Linked DNA regions of Drosophila melanogaster. The protein of the gene in region 3 interacts with the protein of the main gene of each other region in a pairwise test. Each region holds a gene or a part of one and is shown on either strand. Other genes may lie near its edges.

What was found.
Region 1: the proteins of CG14186 (region 3) and CG13999 interact in a two-hybrid assay, tested with the Drosophila melanogaster proteins (one large-scale study listed by BioGRID).
Region 2: the proteins of CG14186 (region 3) and CG7675 interact in a two-hybrid assay, tested with the Drosophila melanogaster proteins (one large-scale study listed by BioGRID).

What each region holds. Positions count from the first base shown.
Region 1 is NT_033779.5:5,953,750-5,960,042, forward strand, and holds CG13999 (uncharacterized protein), read right to left. Parts: upstream 2,718-6,293; 5' UTR 2,477-2,717; coding exon 2,343-2,476; intron 2,286-2,342; coding exon 2,032-2,285; intron 1,975-2,031; coding exon 1,865-1,974; 3' UTR 1,563-1,864; downstream 1-1,562. Other genes in the region: CG9044 (uncharacterized protein), read left to right, coding at 1-728, 786-1,252; CG13998 (uncharacterized protein), read right to left, coding at 2,763-3,056; Vm26Ab (vitelline membrane 26Ab), read left to right, coding at 3,317-3,823; Vm26Ac (vitelline membrane 26Aac), read right to left, coding at 4,297-4,842; Vm26Aa (vitelline membrane 26Aa), read right to left, coding at 6,085-6,293.
Region 2 is NT_033777.3:18,376,562-18,384,538, forward strand, and holds CG7675 (uncharacterized protein), read right to left. Parts: upstream 4,618-7,977; 5' UTR 4,471-4,617; intron 4,176-4,470; exon of another isoform or gene 4,058-4,175; intron 3,794-4,057; 5' UTR 3,793-3,793; coding exon 3,652-3,792; intron 2,804-3,651; coding exon 2,665-2,803; intron 2,407-2,664; coding exon 1,676-2,406; 3' UTR 1,563-1,675; downstream 1-1,562. Other genes in the region: CG14309 (uncharacterized protein), read right to left, coding at 5,388-7,659, 7,748-7,977.
Region 3 is NT_037436.4:20,096,744-20,107,451, reverse strand, and holds CG14186 (uncharacterized protein), read left to right. Parts: upstream 1-3,624; 5' UTR 3,625-4,091; coding exon 4,092-5,037; intron 5,038-5,786; coding exon 5,787-6,228; intron 6,229-6,456; coding exon 6,457-6,849; intron 6,850-8,031; coding exon 8,032-8,209; intron 8,210-8,272; coding exon 8,273-8,428; 3' UTR 8,429-9,368; downstream 9,369-10,708. Other genes in the region: CG14185 (uncharacterized protein), read right to left, coding at 56-934, 1,002-1,331.

The sequences.
Region 1 (6,293 bases), on a different chromosome or scaffold from region 3:
GCCTACGACACCTTCGACTGCAGCTCCCTTGGCTCCTGCAAAATCGGCTGTCCCATCCCATGTACCGCTGACAGAGAGCAGCTCGTCGGGATCCGTAACGGACAGCATATGTACTACCTACGAGCAGCAGGCCACTGATGCGCCACAAAATCTACAAAATTCCCTGCTCACCGAGTCGTCAAACAGCCAAGTTAGTGGTTCGGATGCGGAATCTAATAGCCGTTTGAAAAGCGCCGAGGATGCCAGCCTGCTGCCTTTCGCATCTGTATTTCAATCAACCAATCTGCTCATGTCCAGCTCAAAGAAGTTGATCGAGTCGGAGGCAACTGTTTTTGGTACCCAGCCGTACAAGTTTAACTACAGCGACTTTAATGATATCGATCACCGTCTGAAGCTCTACTTCTACCAACGAAAGTTCAAAGAGGATGGCGAGCATTTCAAGTGGTTGGCCAAAGGTCGCATCTACAATGAGCAGACCCAATCCTTGGGAGAAGGGCTTGTGGTAATGTCCAACTGCAAGTGCTATCTAATGGAGGCCTTTGCAGAACCCCATGACGATGTGGCCAAATGGCTGAGGCAGGTCGTCAGCGTGGCAGTCAATCGTTTGGTGGCCATTGATCTGTTGCCCTGGAAACTTGGCTTGTCCTTCACCTTAAAGGATTGGGGAGGATTTGTCCTGCTGTTGCATGACATGCTGAGGACGGAAAGTTTACTGAATTATTTACAACGTGAGTTAACTTTTTGCATGTTGCTTTTTTCCTAATACTTATTATATTTTTTAACAGAAATTCCTCTGCCTGAGCAGTGCAAGCTGAATCATCAACCATCTGTCACACTCAGCCATCAGTGGGAAACTATTGCGTCCGAACCAGTCAAGATGTGCTCCCTGATTCCCAGCTGCCAATGGATCTGTGACCAGGAGAAGAGCTCCTTTGAACCCTCCCTGCTCCTAATCACGGAGACACATTTGTACATCTCAGGAAATGGCAAATTCTCGTGGCTGTCAGATAAAGTTCAGGAAAAGCCCATTCAACCAGAACTTAGCCTTAATCAACCACTGAGCAATTTGGTCGACGTGGAGCGCATTACAGACCAAAAGTATGCGATCAACTTTATTGATGAGACGCAAAACAGGTGCGAGATATGGAAGTTGCAGTTCGAAACGCATGCCAATGCCGCATGTTGCCTGAATGTCATCGGAAAGGGATGGGAGCAGCTATTTGGAGTGCCATTCAGTCTCTCTGGAACGTGAGGAGCGAATTACACTAGAAAATTGAATATAGCCTGTACCAATTATTGTGCAAAGTTTAAAATTGTTGATCTTAATTGACTATGTTATTTAATGTCAGATTAGTTTTATTAACTTAGGCTAGAGCTTTCAATCAATAAGAAATGGTGCTGTACCACGATTTAAATGTAAATATTTATAAATATAGAGGTTATTATTTTTTGAAGTCCTTGCAATATATTCATATATTACAGAATTAAATCGTCTAAATTGTTTTATTTGTTGTTAGATGAATTATAGTTGGTATCAGTAAGTTGATATTACATATTTGCTTCTATTTACACATGAATAATATTATTGGAAACAAAAGAACTACAATATTGTCAAGGAATTTTGTTTGCTAATTAAATAATATTCACACGTGAGTTATAAATGTTATATGCATTTAAACTCGGTCGGATTTATTTTCGACTTATCTGTTAGTGCTATCTACTTGATAATTTCGGCATAGAGGTTTTTCATTTCTGTTTTAAATCGGATGTCTTTATAAACTATTATCTATTTCTATTAATTATCTATATACAGTACACTTCTTATGCTGACTCACTCATCGAAGAGTCCACTTAACCAGGTGTCTTACTTATCGCCCAGCTGATCTGCGATCCAGTCAAGATGCTCCTCCTTGAAGCGAGGATCTGCCATGGTCAGAGCCGTCGACTTGGAGCTGTAGTAATAGAAAACCGACACTGCGGGAAAGAGGAAGATATTAGGATAAGTGTGGAATGAATATTTCCGGAACTCACTGATGCGCTGTGCCACTGATAGGGCAATCAGACCCAGTGGCCAATGATGACCGTCCTCTTCTGGCGGCTGACGGTATTGGTAGATGATCCAAAAGTGCTGGGAGGCGGACAGAAGGAAGTAGATGGTAATGCTGGCCATGAAGAGCTTGCAATTCCGCAGGATTATGTGCGAGGCGCCGACCTGGTACACACACGTCGAGTGCAGGGCGAGGGTGAACAGCAGGTACTCCGCGATAATCAGGGCATCCTGAGTGCTGTGGTAACGTGCTGTGTTCAGAAAGGATATCTTCTCCATTCCCTAAGATACTCACACAAAGAGAATTATGGCTGTCTGCAATCGGTTTCTGGCCAGCGAAGGACCAAAGGCGTTGCAAAAGAGGTCCACTCCCAAAAGGGCGAACTGGAACAGGAGCACCCAGGAGTAGCGTCGCAGTGTTAGCTTCATGGCGGTGTCCAAATGTCAAGCGCTTGTTTTCGGTCAATTTGTTGCGTGCTGACTGTGCGGGGGTTTGTTGTGTCCTTCGTCCTGGTGACGTCAAAGCTACCACTGCGGTCATGCGCTGTGGATTTGTACTATCCCCTTATCGATAGACAGATTTCCATGGAGAACTGGTGAAACTTTGAAAACGTGTGGAAGGCATTGGCGGGAACAGAAATGGGTACGTATTTTTAAAGACCAGGTTACAAATTGGAGTCAGAAAACTATATATTATTCTGGGTTGCTTTTATTATCAGACATATCGAGCATATTCAAAAGGGTACTGCTGCCGTTTTCCCGATCGGAAGGTGTCCATTCTGCCAGCCTGTCGCCGGAATCTCCTGTAGTACTGCTGGTTCATCTCGGAGTAGAAGTTTGTGGGCAGTAGGTGAGACCAACTGTGGTCGCCTTCACCATTGTGGCGGTCCAGAAACTGGAACATCGATGCGGAAGTGACTTCGGCAGCCCCTGTGCGCCAGAATGGCCAGGTTGGATTTAAGGTCACCAGAGCCAAGACCAGAAACCAGAACGTCATCGTCTTAGCCATTTGTGAAGAGAGCTGTTTGGCCAAAACCCGGCACCCAATACCCTCCTCCAAAGTCGACTGCCGGTTGCAGGTGGTCAGCAGATTTCGAGCCGGGGTGCTTCCATTTGCATTTTTTTCGGAACGCTGTCGTTCTACTCCGTCAGTGCGATCAGCGTTTTCCGAGTGGGCTATAAAGTGGATTGGCTGGGAGGCTACAATCAACAGTCAGCCTTCGTTCGTCACTTCAGCAGCAAGTAGAGACAGCTCAAGAACCATCCGCAATGGCATTCAACTTTGGTCACCTCCTCATCGCCGGCCTCGTGGCCTTGTCCGCCGTGTCCTCGGAGACCATCCAGCTGCAGCCCACTCAGGGCATCCTCATCCCCGCCCCGCTGGCCGAGAACATCCGTGTGTCGCGTGCCGCCTACGGAGGATACGGCGCTGCCCCAGCCGCCCCATCGTACTCCGCCCCAGCCGCTCCCGCTGCCCAGGCCTACTCTGCTCCCGCTGCCCCAGCCTACTCCGCACCCGCTGCTCCCGCCTACTCCGCACCCGCTGCTCCTGCCTACTCTGCTCCCGCTGCCCCAGCTTACTCTGCCCCAGCCGCACCAGCTTACTCCGCACCCGCCTCCATTCCGTCGCCGCCGTGCCCCAAGAACTACCTGTTCAGCTGCCAGCCCTCCCTGCAGCCCGTGCCCTGCTCCGCCCCAGCTCAGTCCTACGGATCCGCCGGTGCCTACTCCCAGTACGTGCCCCAGTACGCCGTGCCCTTCGTCCGCGAACTTTAAGGATCGAAACGAATCTGACTTGACATCTGAACCTAAGAATAAAGTAATGCTTTCATAAAAAACATTTAAGATATTTTATTGAAGGGGTATCAAGGGTTTTATTGCTTTTCTACAAGCTATTAAAAAAGTTTCAGCTCTCTGAAATAAATATAATTATTACCGATATGATGCAACAAATTTAAGGTTTTGTGTTTTACTAGTACACCTTTTTTTAAAAAGAACAAATTCGTATATGCAAAACGAGTAATGGGCTGTAAGCAATTTTGAAATTCTAGAACACTTTAGATATATCTTGTTATTTATCGTCTTAGCAATGATTAAAGCGGCACAAAAAGTTGCTCCCAATTTTGGTCTAAAACTAATCCTGTTTATATATTTAATAGTGCCAAACAGAAGTCTTAAATAAATAATAAATATTAAAAAGATTAAAATATTGTTTAAAATTTTCACTTTATTAAAAATCAGCTAGTTCATCAATATGAGCTGTACCCACATGGAACCGGCTTGATAACCGCTTCGCAGGAGAACACATAGTTCTTTGGGCAAGCTGGAGAAGGAACTTCACTGAGTGTGGTTTGTTGTTGGTATGTTCCCTGAACCGGTACCTGGGCCTCATCCTGGTCGTAGCTGCGAGCGAAGCCAAATTTGCCACGTCCAAAACCAGGACCTCCGAAGCCGGGACCTCCGAAACCGGGACCTCCAAAGCCGGGACGTCCAAAGCCAGGGCCTCCGAAGCCCGGACCTCCGAAGCCAGGACCTCCAAAACCAGGTCCTCCAAAACCAGGTCCACCAAACCCGGGACCACCAAAGTTGTTCTCCACGATTACCTCCTGTACGATTTGCTGTTGCCTCCTCCTACGGTTCAGATACGCATCCGAGGGCTCGACAGCTGATGATCTCGATGGCAGGCTCCTTAAGCACCCTGTACTTCCTCCACAGGTCGAGGCTTCCAAACCAGCCTGCTGACCCAGAGAACTCGCTCCGGCCAAAAGGGCAAAGAATCCGAGATACTTCCACATGCTGACTTGATATGGTGGCGTTGCAAGCTGAGAAAGCCGAGATGCGGCGTTGTTCAAGTGGCTTTTATAACCTCATGCCACCAGAAGTGCACAACGAAGCGGAAACGGAGATGGCCAAGGTAACACCCAACAAGTGGGTCACTTGGTCGCACATTCCAGAGGGCGAGTGGGATCAGAATTGGGGCGAAGTTGGAAGTTCGAGAAAATGGGCCATTGGCTAGAAGGGGTTAATCCGCTGGGAGGGCCCAAGTCACTACTTGGCTGGGCTCGGAAACCCTACGAGCACCTGAAACCCGAAGGTCAGCACATTGTAGCCACTGCTGCTTTCCGGCTTGTAGGCTGACCGACCAGTCAAGCGATTGATGATGGGATCCGATATCGCATTACCCAATCGCTTGCACTTTTCACTTTTCAATTTTCCGCTTTGTCGCTGATTCGGATGTGTCGCAAGCATTTCTTCTAGCTAAAATATACATTTATGTACAATTTAATAACTATTTTGTTTGGTACCAGCATTTCCTGCAGTTCAGTGACCCACAACGAGCTGCTTGGCACAAAGGTTAAAAACTGAAAGTTTGCTTAGTTACAATCACCTGTATCTGGCGGATGTAGATTTAATCGGATTGGGAAAAGCTGGAGGCAGTAGCCGAAACTACATTTCCTTTTTCAGGAATTTAATAGCTAACGATTTTAAAATGGTTTTATGGTGGTTATAAAATGGTTATAAAATAAATTATTTTAGTACAAGTTATATAAGTTAACTTGGAGAATAAAAACATTGGGTTTACTTCAATGATAAACGTTGATTAGGTTACTAAAATAAATTTTGTCGTCAATTATCTAGTAAGATGATAAAAAGACAGTGCAGCAAATATACTTAAATGCTTCATTTTGGGAATGTTTAAAGAAAATGTTATACTTGGGACTTTTAATATATATAAAGTTATATCAGAATATATATCTTTTATCAAACAACAGCCTGGTAGAATAATAATATGATTTTGTTATTACCAACATTATCTTGGAATGATAATCTAGGCTTGGTCTTCTTCTATTGGTTGCTAGAAACTACAATAGTTATACCCTTAGTAAGAACAATTCATGATTTAGCTTTTTTTTAGTGATTTAATTGCAGTACATATTTTTGGGTATATTTTTTGTCAAATCCATCAAAGCTTATGTTTCTCGGCAGTCGGTTCGTGGTCCTTGGGCGATGATCGCAGTCGCAGTCGGAGCAGGTGCTTAGTACTGGTAGCCATAGGTCTGGGGCACGTAGGCGCTGTACAGCTGCTGCTGGTGCTGGGGCACGCCGTAGTTGGGGGCGACGTAGGTGGCCACCGGGGAGGAGTAGGCGCCGGCGGATCCGTAGCTGGGAGCTGGAGCGCTGCATGGCACGGGGGCAAGGTTGGGCTGGCAGCTGAACAGGTAGTTCTTGGGGCAGGGAGGAGCTG
Region 2 (7,977 bases), on a different chromosome or scaffold from region 3:
GATGATCTATTGGTTTCTCACAGTAGCGAATTAAGGGGCGTTTGGTCCTTCAATTATCTGCGGTGCCGCACGCTTCGCTATCTTTAATGCCATTTTGGTGAGCCGCAAATGATTATCCTGTAATCCTTTGGATAAATATTAAATTTCAATTACGCCATTTAACATATTATTAGCCACCGATCGGCACTATCATCATCATTGGGCAAGTCACGTGCCGTCGAGGAGCTGATAGCAATCTACGCAAAAGCGAACAACCGCAACCCTCCGTTTCTGCAGAAACAGGCGTGGTGACAGCCCGCAAAGGATGCGACTGCAATTTTATCAGATTATACATGTCGACGGAGTCCCCCGGGAGTCCTCCCGCCATCCACCCCCTTGGTCCTCCTCAACAGGTGAGCGAGTCCAACGAAACTTTGTGTGAGAATTTTTCGGCCTTTCCCCGATTCTGCTCCCCTCTCCATTTGTATCGGGTTACCTTGCCTCACCCGATTGGCGCTGTGATTTGTCGTTCTCGAGCATTCTCATGAAATTAATTTGAAACGGAGTATCCAGGATGGATATCAGTTGAATTAAAACAATTATTCCAGGATTCAGTTAATTTCTAGACCATACATAAAATTATTATTACATCAGCTTTTAACAGTAACTCCTGTTATAGCTTACAGAGGCTGTTAATTTTTAGGGTGAACCAGGTTTGCTTATTTGTAATTAATATTAAATAAGAAAAAAAGTAATCATGGGCGTGACAAAACGAAAGCAATTCACAAGACCAATAAAAATTGAGGTACTAAGATCTCGACGTTCGGATACGGATGATCCTGATCTAGAATATATCAACTTTATGTTACATATTTTTACAATTTTACTCTACGAGTAACGGGTAAAATGTAACCAGTAGTTGCATAATTCTTTCTGAAATATATGTGTATTAGGAGAGGGATGAATGGACGCTCATTACTTTTAGTAAAATGTCTTATAGAGCAAATTGGTTTATATTTTTTTTTTAACATATCTCAATACCTAGAAGAACTTTTTTAAAGATCATTTGACTAAGAAGCTGCAGCTACAAAATAAATAACGAGAAGCAATAAGTTGAAAAGTTCAAAACTTGTCAGAATTGTCATATCTAGTTACCTAGCAAAAGATTTATCGAGTGACTGTCAATATATATTACATGTAATACAAAAACGGTCCCCTTGCAAATCCAAGCCGAAATCCTGTGCCAATAAGAAGTCGAGTTCCCCGACTAACAGATACCCGTTGCTCAGTTAGTGTGAATGCGCTGTGTCTATGTATCTAGAATCTGTATGCTGCATCACAACCTTCTAGCTTTTAAAGTTCCTGAGATCTCGACATTCAGACGGACAGAGGAACATGGCCAGATCGACTCGGCTATTGATCTTGATCCAGACTATATTCTAGTCTTGATTCTAGTATACCCTTTTACTCACGAGCAACCGATATAACAACCAAGATCTTTGTAATATATTATATATAGTCAGAAATTTGATGTGCTTTTTTTTCTGACAGCAAATATATCATATTGAAAACGAGCCACATTTAATTATACAAAATCATTTTTATTGAGAAAACTTAGGCTACAGTAAACTCCCCCTTAAAAACAAGAAAAGTAAATCAGTAAATTGTGCGTTGGCTCTCAGCCGCAGACACCCGTCTAGATTTTGGGATCCTGGGGCGTAAGCTTGACAATCTTCACGGACTCCTCCCAGATCTTGAGACCCTTCTCCTCATCGAGGGCAGCAGCATTAAGGGTGGCCTCCTTGCAGTCCATGAAGTACTTTCCAGACACATTGGCCACCTCATTGGATGTGGCCAAATAGATAGTGGTCTGGGCGCCGGCCTTGGTGGTCTTGAAGAATCCCTTGGTGATGGCCATCATGGGCAAGTTGAGGGGGAAGGGAACGTTACGCCAAATGCCCGAGTCGATCATGCCGGGATGCAGGAAATTCACTGTAACCTTGGTGCCCTCCAGCCGCTTGGCCAGCTCCCGGGCAAAGTAGATGTTCGCAAACTTGGACACATAGTATAAGTAGGCAGCCGGGAAAGTGCCGATGGGATTGAGCTTGGCCAGGTTAACCGACGACAGGCGGTACAGCTCCGAGGCTACGATGACTATGCGAGCCGGCGCGCTCTTCTTTAGTACATCGATGAGCAGATGCGTCAGCAGGAAGGGTCCATAGTGATTGGTGGCCATGGTCAGCTCCACGCCATCCTCACTCGTCTGTCCGCGGAAGGCCAGAGCCATGCCGGCATTGTGGATAAGCACATCGATCTTGGGCTCGGTCTTCACAATGTCAGCGGCGAACTCACGGACGGACTTCTGGGAGCCCAGATCCAGTTTCTTGACTAGGATCTTGTTGTTCTTCGTCTCCTTGACGATCTCATCTGTGGGAAATCAACAATAAATTACAAAATTCGGTTATGTAAAAAAAAACATGGTTAATGCAACGCCAACATATTATAAGATACTTTCTTTAAAGTAATTACAACGTAAATATTTAATAAAAAAAGATCATTGGTAGTAAGCAGTTTTTGCCAGAGTCTATAATCAACTGGATGAGACCAGTTATCGGAATTTGACCGTGTTGCATGTCCTGCCAGATCCTTGGCATAACCTCATAGGCATTGTCTTGGTCCACTTACCCTTCACTGCATTGGCAGTCTCCAGGTTCCTGCAGGCCATGATGATGCGGGCTCCACGTCCAGCCAGATCCTTGGCCGTCTCCTTGCCAATTCCGCTGTTGGCGCCTGTGATAATGACTGTCTTGCCCTCCATCTTTGTCTGTAATCAATGTCGAAGGTTAATCATTTAATACGGCGCTGCAATCGAAAATTGGACGAGGGCGGTTCGAAAATATGTTTACAATACTAATTAGTTGGCGCTTGTTCACAGTCACAGTAATCGCAGTTCGTCTGGAACGGAAGCTATCTTAGTTTTCAGACCCATTAACGGGTCGCTTAATTGCCATTCGAGTGCTGAGAGCTTTCTGTGAATCAGAGGTAAGCGATCTCACAGATTGTAACCGAGATACCCAGAAGCTTAGATGTTTTGTGGGATACGAACAATGTTCGGTCAGGTGGTAATCGTAGCTCAGAGATGTGACGTACCTCGCCTCTCAGAAGGTATCTAATTTAATCTGTAATTAAGTCGACGCGTCACAACTGACCAATGTAATAACAAGATTGAAACACGTTAAGTTTTCCTAGTGGTGATTTCATATATAGTTAAAAGATTTCCATAGTCGGAATGCTTGGAATGCTACAGAATCGTTTTAATTATATGGGGTTTTTCCAGATAGTGATATATGTAGTTTTCTATAGAGCGGTAAGCTGAACCATTTTCAATTATGGATCTGTAATGTTTATCTGAATAGTTCGCATTTATATGAATATATAAAATTTGTAAAAGTTTTGAGCGATTAATAAGCTTAAGGTCGTGTCCGAATACTGTTTTAGTAAACTATCCCACCATCATTTGTATGTATATGACAGCTCATCTACAAGATCTGAAAAGAATTCGCAGCGGAAGTGGGAGCAACAGCCATATAAAGTGCGAAATATTCGAGTCGTGTCGCGATTCTGGGGAGCATGGGACTTGGTTTTTTGGATTGGGTGAGGTGCGTTCGTTACCTCGGTGAAACATCGTCCCGCCGTGATGCGCAGATAGAACCGAATGCTCATCAGGGTGGCCACTATGGCGGCCACTGAAGTCATGAGGAAGATGTCGCGCACATAGTGCTCGGTCGACAGCCAACCGAAGATGAAACCCATCCTACAAATATGCCGAGGTGTGTATACTATATATTGTATCTTCATATACGTATATATCGGTGTCAACATGCAAATCAGATTATATAATAACCGAAGCTGCCAAAGCCAGACGATTGTCTTAGGGCATAACGAAACGAGTTTGGTTTTGGGTTTTGGGGTTTCATGGTTTTGGGGATATTGGTTAGTCGGCGAAGGTTTTCACAATTCAAATCGTTTATCAGTGACTGTCAATAAATCAATTTCGAAAACTGTTGAGAAAACTTACACTTTCACTTTCACACATGTGCGTAATTATGGCTTATTATGATGAAACGCCGAAAAAAATAACATTCAACCAAGTTCATTGACAGCCCAAACGAAAGAAGGTTGAACAAGAAAGAAAGTCTGAAGTTTCATGTCGTTTTGAGTTTCTGGTTTTTTCTTCTCTGTTTGTTTTTTTTTTCCCCCACCGTCCACGTCACAAAGATTTCCAAGAGCTTTCCTCAAGACTCGAAGACTGGCTCTGGTTACGCTTGCATGCACCATTTAAGAACCCCCCCAACCGAACCACGCCCTACAATGCAGTCTCGAAAAGAAACAAGATCTATAGATGTATGAAAAAGTCTAGAAGTGACCCGTTTTTGGGTTTTGTTCCTCAACTTTTGCCAGTCGGAGACGAGTTTTTTAGTGCAAACTCACCTGTTTTGGCTGTTGGCTGATCTATAATTTATTCCAACTTCTGCTGACCTGCACTTTGGACTATATCTGCGCTGCGAAATGGAATTGGTGGATCCAAGAGCTAGTGCCACAACCTTCGCCTTGAACGACTAATCGGAGACTGAAGTCGGAATTCCGATTATAAAGCCGAGGCTGCGGAGAATGCGCGATCGTCTCCACCGGTTTGGTATTGCCGTGGTCGCGGTGATTTTGTTATTGCACTTATAGCCATGGTAACAGGTTAGCCAAGCGGCTTTCCGGGCTCCTCTTTGGGATCGTCTTCATGAACGGTTCACTCGCAGCGAAAGAGCGAGCACAGAGTGGAGCCAAACTATAATACATAGTTACCAGCGGTAAGAGAAAGATCTGGGTAGTGGATTCCAAGAAAGTGTGTCTAGAAAGCCACCTGTCGGGGGCTTCGCAAAGCTTCTTTTCTAGTTATGCAGCTCGAATGATGAGCTTGAAATAATGTAGAAAATAATAATGGATAGTAATTAACTTTTTTAATGACCAAGACTTTATTACTATTTGAAGTACTACGGGTAATTGTATAAACATGTCAGATAAAAATCTATTTTATTTTTCATTTCATATATCATTAACCGAGATACCACTGAAATATATCAACATTCTTTTCAATTCAATGCATTTTATTATAGAGATGACATATTCACAAGTACAATAAAGAATGCTCAACAATCTACCACAAGCTTAGTCTAAGCCCGTCTAGTTCGTTGCCTTAGTCCTGTATATAGCTTTATTTGAAAAATATAATTCCCTTAGAATTATCGCTCAAATATAATTCCTTTGAATGCAGTAATGTTTGAAAATAAATATATATTTACATTCGGTTATAATGCTGGCAGTTTAAACAAGGTCATATGGTAATATAAGTCATTCTACTTCTCAATGCTGTTTTGTCGGCGGGGTGGTTGGGTTTCCGCATCCGTTTCCAAGTGCTTGGTTAAGGTGTTGTACCATTCGTTCATATGGTTGGATATGATGTTGATGAAGCGAGATACCTTTGATTTCATAGTGCTCACGAGGCTTTCGGAGAGTTTAGTCAGACTACGACCAGAGGCCAGCGAATTCTTGCTGCTGATCCTCATGATCTTGGATTCCTTTTCCTCCCTGGGCTGGCTGGCATCCTTCTCTGCCTCGTGATCCATCTTGTACTCGTAGTAGGTGTACCTTCCCAGCGGCATCATCTCATCGCGATCTGCCTTGTCTATGGCATTGGAGGGCAGTTCAGCCAGGGAATTAGTGTTAAGTACGGCACGCCGCCTTCTCATAGCTGGTAAATCCCACCAGGAAGTGATACCCTCATCGGCTGGCTTTTGAGGCAATTTCGAATGAAGAGTAGGCGTTGCCTTCTTTCCCTCAAAATGATCCTGTATGAGGGACTTCCTACCGACATTCGCCGACTCCAGGGAACTTTCCCGCATGCCCTCATCTCCTAGAGAAAACTCGTGTTCATGCTCGTTGATGTGGCTGAGGAAATGCTTTCCAAGCTCTTTTTGGGCCTGCAAAAAGTCGTTGGCCACGTGACCTAGCCTGGAGTGACGCCTTCTAGCACTTGGCACCGGTTGCACATCCTCCTCGGGCTCGGACTCTTCAACAGACTTGGGTTTTTGGGACAGACTAGCCTTGGCCATGGTGGCCTTGCTGGAGAAGGGTTCCGGAAATAGCAGTGAGTTCAAGGTGGCTCCCAGATTTAATCGCTTGTTCTGCTTGGGAGCTGGTAGGGCCTCAAAGAATTCCGTGGGCAGTAGACGCAACTTGGGACGCCCTTCTGTTTGCTCCGGTTCCTGCTCCTGTTCATCCTCTTTGTCCTCCCTTTGAATGATCTTTAGCTGACTCTTGGACTTGGTCCTGCGCTTTTTGGGTACCTCCCGCTCAAGTTCCTCTTCGTTTTCCACCTCCCCATCCACAGTCTCAATGTGCTTCAGGTGGACATCACCCTCTGGAAGCCGTGTGTAAGTGGGTATTTCCTCGGATTTCTCTCCAATGCGCTTGAAGAACTTCTCCTCATCGAATTCATCGAAGTCGAAAAGGGGCTTATTCTTCTTTTCCGGCTTCCGGATCTCAGTAATCTTCTTCGTCAATGCTGTCTTCTTACCCTGGCGATTGTAGAAGAAGGGCCCGGAATAGCTGGATGTGTCGCGTCTCTCCCGCTTTTTGCCCATGTCACGGGTGTGCTCGAGCACTTGATACAGCCAGGCCAGAGCTTTATGAGGCTTAATAGCCTGTTCTTTGGACTTGTTCACTTCATCACCCACATCCCTCTTCAGCGGACCGTCATCCTTGAAATGGTCCAGTAGTCGATCTAGTAGGGTCTGTGACGTTTCCTCCTTATCAACGACAAATCTCCGATTGCGATTAATAGAACTCTGAACCGAGCCTCGGGCAACTGCAGTTTCCTCGATCAATCGTTGGAGTAACCGATCGGCGGAACTATAGCGGAATGATCGGCGCTTCTCCTTGGAGGACTCCCCACTCGAATCGCCTGCCTCGATCTCCGTGAACTGGCAGTGTTCCAGATTGACATCGGGCAGCACCCAGAAACTCACCGCCATGCTGGGCGTGATCAGTTGCAGTGGCTTTGTTGGATCAATGGGTTTGATCAGGGGACGCAAAGTGGTGTTCAAGTGCAAGCGGACATTATTCAGCTGGACCCTTTGATCATGGCCAGTCAGTACATACTGCCAAATCTCGCTACTGCTCAAACTACTGGTACTCTTCACAGTAATCGTTGTTGGCTGCTCCTCCGTATTTACCACCATGAATGCCAATCCTCCGGATACGGCATTTGCACAATGGGTATACAACTTGTTGCTCGGAGCAAAGGCGTTCAGAGGTCGGGCTGGGAACACCCTTGATCCCATGACCTTCTTGAACAAAGCAGTTACATACAGACTGAAGTTTGGTCGCTCGAAGTCCACCAAGTTCATTCGCTTAAATATAACATCGAATCCACTAGCGGCGGCATCTCCCATAGTTTGGGCCCACCGCAAGGCATCCGTGGTCTCGTCGCCCACCAATCTCTGCGAGGATCGCTCCTCCGGCAAGGTCAGCCACAAGGGAACGCGCTGTTGCTGAAGGGTTCGCAGGGCAGGATCGCTGTCGTACAAGTAGCTTCCCAGGCTTGATTTGGGCAGCATGTTTGCGGGTCTACAGTTGGAACAAAATAATTATTAAAAGGTAAGATGCTACTTCTATAATGTTCATAAATACATTCACTTCCAATCTCACTACTTACTGCGTCCATCCAAATGCCGTATTCAGATCCTTGGACATATCTACGTATCTCTTGGTCTCATCAGCACTGCTTCCAGCTGAAATGTCCGCTCCCATTAGTCGCCAGTCGTCCACATACGGTTTGAAAGTATCCGTCATCAGTTTGAGAGTTCGAAGTTCCTGGACGTAGTCCTTGGCTCTGGAGGTGCCAAAGTCTGTGCCCAGCTGCCAGATGCAGTCGGTGATGCCAAC
Region 3 (10,708 bases):
TCATATGGTCAATAATATTATTGTGTATAAAATATTAACTTTTTTGCAGTGTGGTCTAGTCCAGCGTTGACTGTGTGCTGAAGACATAATGGGACGATGATTGGACGTCGAGGCTGCTGTTGGAGGAGCAGGAGCTCATTGATGGCGCCCGCGTGGATCGGGCAGAGGAGGCGGAAGACGATCCGCTGGAGGAGGAGGAACTGACCCAGGCGTGGCCACTGCGCCTTCGCCGCTGGCGCACCAGGCTCAAAACCGATCCGGCCACTGGAGTGGAGCCAGAGCTGGCCGACACTTGGCGCCGGATGGCAGCATTCAAGGCGATAGGAACGGGTTCCGGAGCAGGCGCCGTGTTCGGCCGTTGTGCAGTCGTCTCGGAGCCAGACTCCAGATCACTTGATGCCGGGGATGTGGCCTCCTCCATCTCCACCGGAGCAGGTTCACCGTTCAACACCCGTCCATCCAACAGTTGCAACGTGGGCACACTGCGCGCCAGGAGCGAGCGGTAGAGCGGTAAACGACACACGGGATTGCCCTGCAACTCCACCTCCTGCAGCTGCGGGCACATTCCCAAGAAGGAGAGCAGGCCCAGCTCACTGATCCGGTTGTTCCTTGCCTTGAGAACGCGCAGGTGGACCAGTTCGGCCAGCGGATCAACCCGCTGGATCATGTTTCCATCGGCGATGAGCACACGGATGGCCGGCAGTCCACTGGTGCCGTCGAAGCTATTCAGGCCGCAGTTGCTGATGTCCAACCGGGTTAGCTGGAGGAGTCCATAGCCCAGGTCGCGCAGGGAGCTCAGCACACTGCCACTCAGGTCGAGGGATTGGAGGCGCGGCAGGAAGAGCGACAGGCGGGACAGGCTGACTGTGTAAGAGATCACGCGCAGACGCACTTGCTCCACCGCCTCCAGATCCGTGCGTTGCGTCACTCGGCGCTAAGCAAACAATATTTTAATACCACTTCATCACTTTTAATTCGTCACAAGGTTAACGTGCACCCACCAGTAGCTCGTCCAGTGTCGGTTCCGGGCCCTGTTGGGGTAGCACCACGGGCAGCAGGTGGACGAAGGCCGGAAGGTGCTGTTCCTCCTCGGCAATGGCCACATCCCGATCGAAGGAGTTCCGGCGACCCAGTTGGCGGCGGTTGAACTGCATCCGCTGCTGCTGCTGCTGTGCGGGATTCTGCTGATTGAGCCGCACCTCGGGCGGAGGCATCCGGACCTGGGCCAAGGCGGCCGGTCCTGGCGGTGCCAGAAGGATGGGCAGTTCCGCCTGAAGCGATTGATCCGGAGAGGACTCCAGGTAGTCCGCAGGTGCCTCCAGCAGTGGCATTATTAATATTTCTTAGTGCAACACCTACATATGTCTTCAGTGTTCTGCTGTATTTTGTCTGTCCATATTGACCTAACAACCCAAGCGTATCCACTGGCAACGCTACTTGGTGGCATTGTCACTTTCCATTTTTGTTGTTCATTAGATCACTATTTAACGCTTACCGGCTGAATATTATAAACTATAATAATTTTCATTAATGAGAGCAAGACATTATTCTGTTCACATAACAAGCAATCAAACAAGTCTTTATCTTTTTAATTAGCTAGTTTATATTGTTAACTTATAGTCAACATGTTTATGGTCCTAAGAAGTATGCAATAAACTTCCACCATTTTACCTTACTAATAGATCATTGAATGTACATATGTAATAATTCTGTCACATAATTTGTGTGCCCCATTTTTATTAAAAACCATTTTGGTTAAATTTAATTGTTTACTAGAAGACTTACAATTCAATAACGTCTAGCTTTAATCAATGGACCTTAAATATTCTTTGTGCATGTACTGTGTGAATAAACTTCTTATTTGGCCACGCTATTTCAGTATAAATTTAACGAAAGGACTTAGTTTTATATCGATCTGCCATTTTGCAGCATTCCGTCGCCCTCATTCATTCCGCCGCAACAGCGTTTTCTTTTTGGCAATACGCCCACTGACGTCAGTGTGACGTCATGGTCGTGACGTTCGCACTCAAACTCTTTACCACCGAGGTTTTTTACATTCCTCTTTCTGTCAAACTCGCTCGCTCTCTCTCTCTCTTCCAGGATGTCTGTCTGGCTTGGGAGAGCGGTGAGAGTTTCGCGGTTATTTCTGTTCAGAGGCGAATGAACAGGATAACAATTAATTATCAGTTCTAGACATTTATGTGTAAAATAGTCACAAAATTTAATAACGCAAAATATTGATTTTCAATCATTTTGTTTTCTGCATATTATGTTATATGGATATATATTCTGGATCCGCCCGCATCACAGACTTTTGCCATTTCAAGGGCCTTTAGCTAACGCCAACGCCATAAGGATTCTTTGTCTGTCCCGCTCTCTCTCTCCCTCTCTCCCTCTCTGTTTTCTCAGTTTTACTATAATCCAATTTTCCTGACGCCTGTCAAGCTTTTGCCGGCTTTTGTCAATTTATTTTGGTAAGAGGGAGGTGGTTGGCTCCTAAGGGAGGCACTGTTGTTGTTTTGGTTTTGGATTGAGCTTTTTCCATTGACGTCATCAGAGGCGAAAGCTGCGCAGTGAGCTGACATCGTACCACGCATTTATCGATTGCACAGAGGAGAAAGTGCGAAAGAGAGAGGTAGAACGAGAGAAAGAGAGATGGAGAAAGTGATGGTGATTGTGGTGGAGTGAGAAGAGACGCGTGGGCGAAATCGGTTTTTGCAGAATATGACGTAGTAGAAGGGGAAAAAGACAGGCAAAATAGGAATTTAAAAATGTATAAAATTCCATTTACTAATTATTTCCATACATTGTCTTAAAATCCCGCCCAATAAACAGCAAAGTTTCTCACAGTGAAGCACAGCTGCTTTTTAAGTGTGAGTTCAGGTGTTGTCAATAAAATCCCATCATCAGCTCGCACATTTTTATAGATGCCTAAAAATAGAATTTGTCAATAATACCAACAAACCCAAGCACAAGCAACACACATAGACAGACACACACTATTACACAAATGGCTGCAATGTGTGGGTGCACAGGCACGCACTGTTGACGTCATTGTCCTTAAAGCTCTAGCGCTCTCTCTCTCTCTCGAACGGTTACTACGCTACAGCTACATTGAAACGTGTTCGCTCTCAATGGCGTTCCGAAAATACCGTTCGCTTCTCATTGACGTCTACGTTGACGTCGGCGTGGGCGTCACTGTTACAGTTAACAGTGCGCCAGGATTAACATAGGTTGGAGACTGCGCTTAAGCATTTGACACTGCCGGTCAAAAGTCGAATATGTAAAATTTTAGATATTAATGTTTTGAAGGGCGAGGAAATTCGTAGACATCAAATGTTAAGAACCAAAATCGATTTAATTTTAAACGTGTCTGGAAGATTGTTATATCGAGCCTGTCAACCGGTATTTAAAGCAAAACAATGAATGTTGTATAGTATTTACAAATTTTTATCATGTGCTTAAACCGTGGTGTATTGTATGCTTTATCGACGTAAGTTGAGAAAGTAACAGTATATTTTGTCCCCGTTAACAGAGGCAGAGCAGTCGGCGTCAGAGGGTAATGTTGGCTTTAAAGTTGGGAGAGCTGCGTCTATTTAAGCCCCTCGCAATGACAAATTCGTTGTTATTGCAGAACAGAGTCTCGAACGCGGTGCTTTGGTTTCGGTTCCGTTCGCCTCGTGAATATTTTTTTAAGGAATATAAGAACAATGCACGGATAACGCAGTAATCGAGTAAAAATCGAACGCAGTACCGTAACAAAGAGATTGATCTATCCGATAAGTGATCAGTTATTCGGTCGCCAATGATATCCGTATGTGCAGAGTGCGCTGAAGTGGAGCCTTGAGGAAATGCCACCAGCTCGCAGCTGAGCTGCATTCGCTGATTGTCGTTGTGGTCGTGTCCTCTCGCGGTTGTGTGTGTGTGTGTGTGGGTGTGCACTGTGTTATTTGGGTCAAAAGCTGCAGCAGCACAAAGTTCCCACTCCCATTCCCGTTTCCGTGCCCGTTCCCAGGGGGTGTCCACCTGTTATGCAGCTGGCCTAGTGGCTCAACTCGGCTCGGATCGGATCTAGCATCCCACAAGTCCAAATGGAGGCAAAGGTGCACCGCCAGCATCAACGGCATCGTCGCACGGAGGCGCGACAGCGGCGCCTGGAACGGGAGGCGGTGGCTACGGGAGCGGCAGCTCCAACGCCCACCACGCCCGAGCGGGCAGAGGCCTTGGACTGTGCCACAGCCCTCAACGAGGGCGTGGTATCCGCGGATCCGGGCGGCAGCGGCGGTACGCCAAGCAGTGCGGGTCGCATCAGTGCCCAGAGCTCGGCGGACAGCATAGAGCTGGTGGGTTCGCCCAGCCAGACGTCGCAGCAAACGGTGGTGCTGGTCAACGGCCACGCCCCGCCGGGCCAGGAGGAGGGGGAGGAGGAGTCGCCACTGGGCGCAGGCAATACCAGGGACTCACCGCCGCCGCCCAAGCAGAGCGATGGCAGTCGCAACTCATCCGGCGATGCGATGAGTCTGCGGGAGACCCTGCAGCAACTACCGGCCACCCATCACCATCGGTCCAGGCGAACTCACTCACCTGCTGATCCCGATGCGTCCTTTCATCGCGGAATACTTGGGTACATGGACCGGGAGCTCAAGCAGAGCTCTCCCACGCCCTCCGCCCCCGCCGGAACCGGAAACGGAACTGGAAACGGAACTAGCACGGGCGCATCGAGAAAACAGCAGTCCCTCTCCGACCCACAGGCCAGTCCCGCCCAGCGATCCCTGCGTTCGAGGAGCAGCTTCGACAAGAGTCCGCGGCGCAAAAGGAGCAAGTCGGAGTCTCGGCGGAGACGCGAACGGAAGCTAATAGCCGCCGGAGAGATGGAGGTCCGGCAGGCCAACGAAACCCTGATGCGGTACCTCAAGCAGTGCTCCGACATGCACGACGCCTCGCTTTCCGGCGAACTCGAGATCGACCAGAGCCTCGAGGAGAGACGCGTCCACCGGAAGACCAAGTCGCAAAGGGACAAGCGGGGCCAGCTAATCTGTGAGTATATTTTGACTTTTCGCACTTCAGCCATCTCTAATAACTTACTTAATGTAAGAAATTAAACAAGTTATTTGATGATGATGATAGATTAACATGAATTAGTTTGTGTTTTGCGACCAAAAATGTATAAAAATATGAATTCATGTTCGTATTGCGCTTGGGGTTTCATTGAAAATACTAATGATGTTAATATACTGGCTTATTTAAAGCAATACAAGTTAAATGCTAGTTTTGAAACTCTTCAGGTGAATTAATATTTAAATTGATATATTTTTGCTTGCGCTTGAATTTAGTTTGTTTAAAAGTAATTGGGAATTCAAAATAGTACCCAATCCCAACGATAAGTTCCGCAAAACGACCTGACTGATATTTTTTGGGTAGACCCTGTGTCACCCACTTCCGGATCTCAGTTTCCATTCAGTAAAACCATTTGCAGCAAAAGCTCCACCCATCCACCCATCCACCCATCCACCCATCCACCTGCACATCCACCCACCACTTTCTCGATTCTGCGCACTGGCTCGTTTGATACCATGATACCATGCCGTCTTAGACGAGCTTGTTTGATTATTCTTTAAATAAACTAAGTAAAACTTGATACACCGATTATTTCACAAACAATTACAATTTATTTGATTCATTTTCTGTTTATAACAAACTTATAACAAATGGTTCTCATAAGAAGCTGAGAATGGAAAAACAAAGTAACAAACAATAGCCGAATGGAATCCCTCTTTCTCCCACAGCCAAGTTGTACTCAGCAGGCGGTATATCCTCGATTCTGAAGGAGCTGGCCGATGACATAGCTCCGGCCGATGGCGAGGAGATCTACAACCCATTCACGCCGGTCGTCTCGCCCACGGACGATGCGCCCGCGCACATCGACAAGATGTTCCTGCAGACGTCATCCGGATATCGACCCGTGGAGCACAGCTACTACAAGCGCTCCTTCCTGGGGGCGGCTGTTCGTGGATCCGCCGGAATTTCGGCATCCGGCGGCGGAGGTGGATGTGCAGGCGGTGGCGGAGGTCGCCTCGATGGCATCTCGGCCGCGGAGCTTGGAGGCGCCGGTCGCCTCTTCCGCTCCAGCGGCAGCCACGCCCACGGCGGCGACAGAATGGGCGGAAATGGAAGTGGGCGTGGCAGCTACGGTGATACCCGCTGTTTGCTGGATGCCGACTTTAATCGGTGAGTTGCGGAAAATAGAAATGATACCTCAGACGTCAGTTATGCATATGAAACTGTCCAAATCTAAGGTTATCACAAAACTTTTCCTAATATTCTGCTGAAAATACTCATTTAAATTATTTGTTTTTAACTATTTGAGAATTTAAATATATTTAAACATTCGCACAATAGTGTAGTGTAGATGCCAGTGATGTCACTCTAATCCAGCAATTTATTTAATTTTACTAGCAATGGTATCACCAGCAACATACAACTAGCCTGTGTAGTTCAACGAATCTGGCTGCTCATCTCGAACATATGCCACGGCTTGCTAGCCGGTCTAGCTCTGGCCCATCTACTCTTCGTGCTGAGCAGCCACCCCATGGACTGGGCCAAGGTTATCAATGGCATGAGTCTTGCGGGCGAGACGGTGTCATCAACGGCCCAACCCCCAGCCGCATCGACACCATCGGCGATAGACATCGATTCCGGCGATCGGGGAACGGAGTCGGGCGAATCCTCATCCCCATCCGCAGCAGCATCCGGACTGGCCCTGATAAGTGACTACGCCGGATTTGCGGAGATCTACTTAAATACCTTCTACTGCTTGGCCATAATCTGTCTGGTTTCCGTTTTCGATCGGTGAGTTTGGGTGTAATGGATTGGATCTTGGTGAAAAATAAGAAATGAATTCTATAAAGCATAAGTATAGATTACACACCTTTAAGCTAGCTTAGCTCTTTAGGCGATGGATTTTACAATTTTCTAGTCACTTAGTCAATTTCAATTGCGTCCTTTGGGCTTTCGATGTCCTTTGACTTGATTAAAAGCCAATTTGGCCTACCACGCAACCTTCGTCAACGAGCGGCTAAAAATAGGTGGCCAAGAAGGGAATGCTCAGTGGCAGCGATGGAGTTTCGCCACCAGAACTCATTGACCTCAGTTGGCGAAGGATTCGCTGAGAGTTTCATTGAGCTGGAAGTCAGCTGAAGGAAGTGGGTAGTTAGCCCTCGCACCTCCGGTTCTACATACTTCCTTCATTTTTCTTTGTCTAGACACGAGGATATCGTTCCACACTGATAGATAATAGTGTGCGTGGAACTGATGGTGTGGTGGTGGCGATGGTGTGACCTCAATTTGGGTACTTGTTCGGCTTCGTGCTCTCATAGAAATACAAATTTGCGGCGCTCGCATTGCGTGGCCGCTTTCATCAGCCACAAAATATTTTAATGCCCTTAAACTTTGCTCTTTTTGCATGCCAAAGTCGCTGCCCACACACAAGCAAACCACCCTGGCTGCACTCTTGACCTTTAAAGGCTGCGCCAGTCGATGGCACAAGTGTGTGGGTGGTTTTGAATGGCTTGGGTGGTCGGGTGGTTGAGTGGTTGGGTTTTAGGTGGTCCAAAGGAACTGTCTGACGTTGTTTGCCCATTCGAATTGTGCCATTTTCGGCTGCCTGGATGGAAGTGTGAAACTGTGTATGACATTTCGCTTCGTTATCCCAGCGCCATTTGATTTATGCGCTGCTGTGGCTGGGCTAAATGTTAAGTATCTCCAGGCAGTGGAAGTGGAGTCTGTGTCCTGACCTTTGCCCCTCTGACAAACGGAGTGCTACTGTTAAATGTCAGGTCATGCAGGAATCTGTAGGAAGTGCACACCATACGCAGCTGAACTTTCAGGCAATATCCATGATTTTGTTCATGAATAAGTTATTTCCAGTGTGCGTATCTAAGAGCGCCCACTTGATATGGTAATAGCCTAGAGGAAAATAAAATAGATTTTTTTAGTTATTGACTAAAAATCTTTCAAATTTCAAATTTGTAGGATGGACATCTGTCGCTGGAGCTTCTCGAATGCCAGCGAACTGATCTCGTTTCGGTGGCTCATCATCACCATGATCTATGTGGCGACAATAATCCTAGCCATCTGCTCCGATTCCATCGACGAGAAGCTGTACCTGTTCAACAACAATGCCAACATAACGCTGACGCAACAGGAGATGGTAAGTGCAAGGATCGTGGTGATAAGTCTGAGTTCCATATTCAATTTACTCCATTTCGAGCAGCTGAGCAACAGTGTGCAGAGCGTGTGGAGCAGCCTGTCGGTGACGAGGAGCATTGCCGCCATATCCGGGTGGATTATGATCGGACTGACGCCGCAGGAGGATATGCTATATGAGCACCTGGTGGACCTCACCAAATATCAGTTGACAAATAATTGAATTTAAGGCGACAAGTGTAAATATCGAACTCTTAGCAGCTGTTGTTCAGTTATCGGCTTTTTATATGTACGGCATAATCGAAACGCAATAGAACTCTTATGCATACCCAAATCTTAAGCTTTAAAGTCGTCTCTTAAGGATTCACACTGATGCCCTTCGCTGGCCGCTAGAACAAACCCAAGGGGGAACCGATAATATGACAACCAGAGAACTCAATGGTTAACCTTGAAACTAGTTAACTAAGCAAATATAGTGAATACTCGTACTGTTAAAGAGGAAAGAATATGAAATACCTATATTTACCAGATAGCAGATAGATGTATTCATGTACTTACGCATATATACAATATGTTACCTACATAGATATACACATAATTGATATACATTACAAACGCGAGTATAGAAATATTTACAATTATTGAAATCATTTTACTCACACATATCGTCTTAAGATACAGAATCTTTTGGTTTTTTTTAAATCGTTGCGGCACTTTTACGGCAAAGGCTTCCCAAATTAGATCCTCAGTCGATTAGGATCGCCTAGATTAAGTATAATTTTAGCGAATGTGTTTTGTACAATATTTGCATCCCGCAAACGTAGAAGTGTATATTAGTTATTTACATTGTTCAATTCAAGTTTTAGGTAATGCCTCTTGGTTACATTCTTGATTTTGCAGTTAGTAAAACATTTGTTACACCTTCTTTCCTTTAGATGCGTTTACGTGGCAGTTTAAGCTTCTACCTGAGCTGTATATAAACCGAGTGCAATAAAATAACGAATATTAAAGTTTAATTATACACTAACCAATATACAGAGGCAAATGTAATAAAAACATATAGACAAACGAATCGATCAAAGCGGATGACAAGGAAATCTCATTGTAAACTTGTATATAAAAAATATAAACGCAAATAAACAAAAATAATGTATAAAGGCAAGAAAGAATACTTGAGTTTTTTTTTAAAGGTTGGGCGAAGTTTAATTATCCTTTTTTCATAACTTTTATTTTTATGATCAACATTGCCATGTGGGTACTCCCACTATATTAATTTTTTCAAAGGATTTTTAGGGTCAATTCAACTATGCAAACGAGATGCATAAGTGGGCGCGTTTGATCTTATTTTTTCAGAATGCAAACTTTCTTTTTGAGTGGAAGATAAGTATTTAAACGAATCATGAAATCTCACATCGTATCATCACATCATTGAAAACTCGATAAGAATTCCTCAATTTATTACAGTAGAACAGCGATTCAGATTCCTAAGTGACATATGCAGAACGTATGAAAATAAAATAAATAGTAAATAGATCAGTGAAATCAAATCAAAAAAATTGACAATTTGTGAGAGGAACGAATAGATTTATATAGAATTATTCCAACTCACTCAACCGACTCAAGCATTGACAGGAAATTGGAATATAATCCCACAAAGTTTCCTGAAATCCTGCAAATTCAACATTTGGCCAACTTATCGCTAATATTTGGTAAACGTAAAATAAATCATAATTATACATGATGTAATGTAGGATGTCAATGGTTGTGAAACAAGCTTAATGATATTGTTATCTGCTAGATGGCGCCATCAAATGAATGTAGAATGTAAGCTATTATATCTTGTGTCGTGTATAGGCACTTAATTTCATAAAACCAACAATTTATTTATGGACAGATAATCGGAGAAGGTGTATATTTTGAATTTAGCTACGAATGGTCTTAAAATGGTACTTCAATTTGATACCAAGATATTTTTATATCCGCTACCAATTAGCCAATTGTTTTATTAATTGTAAATGCAAGTTAAGATAATGAAAGCGAAATTGTTTATCCACTCAATTGTTAGGAAAATTTTGTACACATGAGATTTTTGTACAAAAAAGATTCGAATCTTTACTCTCTCGCCAAGAGAAGCAAATAAAATATTTAATGGGTCGCTAAATGACTTCAAAGCGAAAACAAAGCTGTTAAAATGAGCGCAACCCATTTGAGCCACGTCAATTCGCAGGACGCACCCTTTCAAAATTCCAAATTTAAATGTTTCACTTCATTTAAAATATTCTTTGTTGCTGCCTTCATGCATTGCAAAATGTGATCTTTGTCATGTAAATGTTTTGCGTAAAATTTCATAATTAGCTAAGACCGTTTTGAAGATTCGATTGAACTAGACTGCAATTAGCGTTCTTCTGCTCTTTTGCATTTGCATAAATAATTATTGTGACCTAAGATAAGTTCCCATTAATTAGACCGACAAAGAGTACAATATTATAACAGGCATTAATTA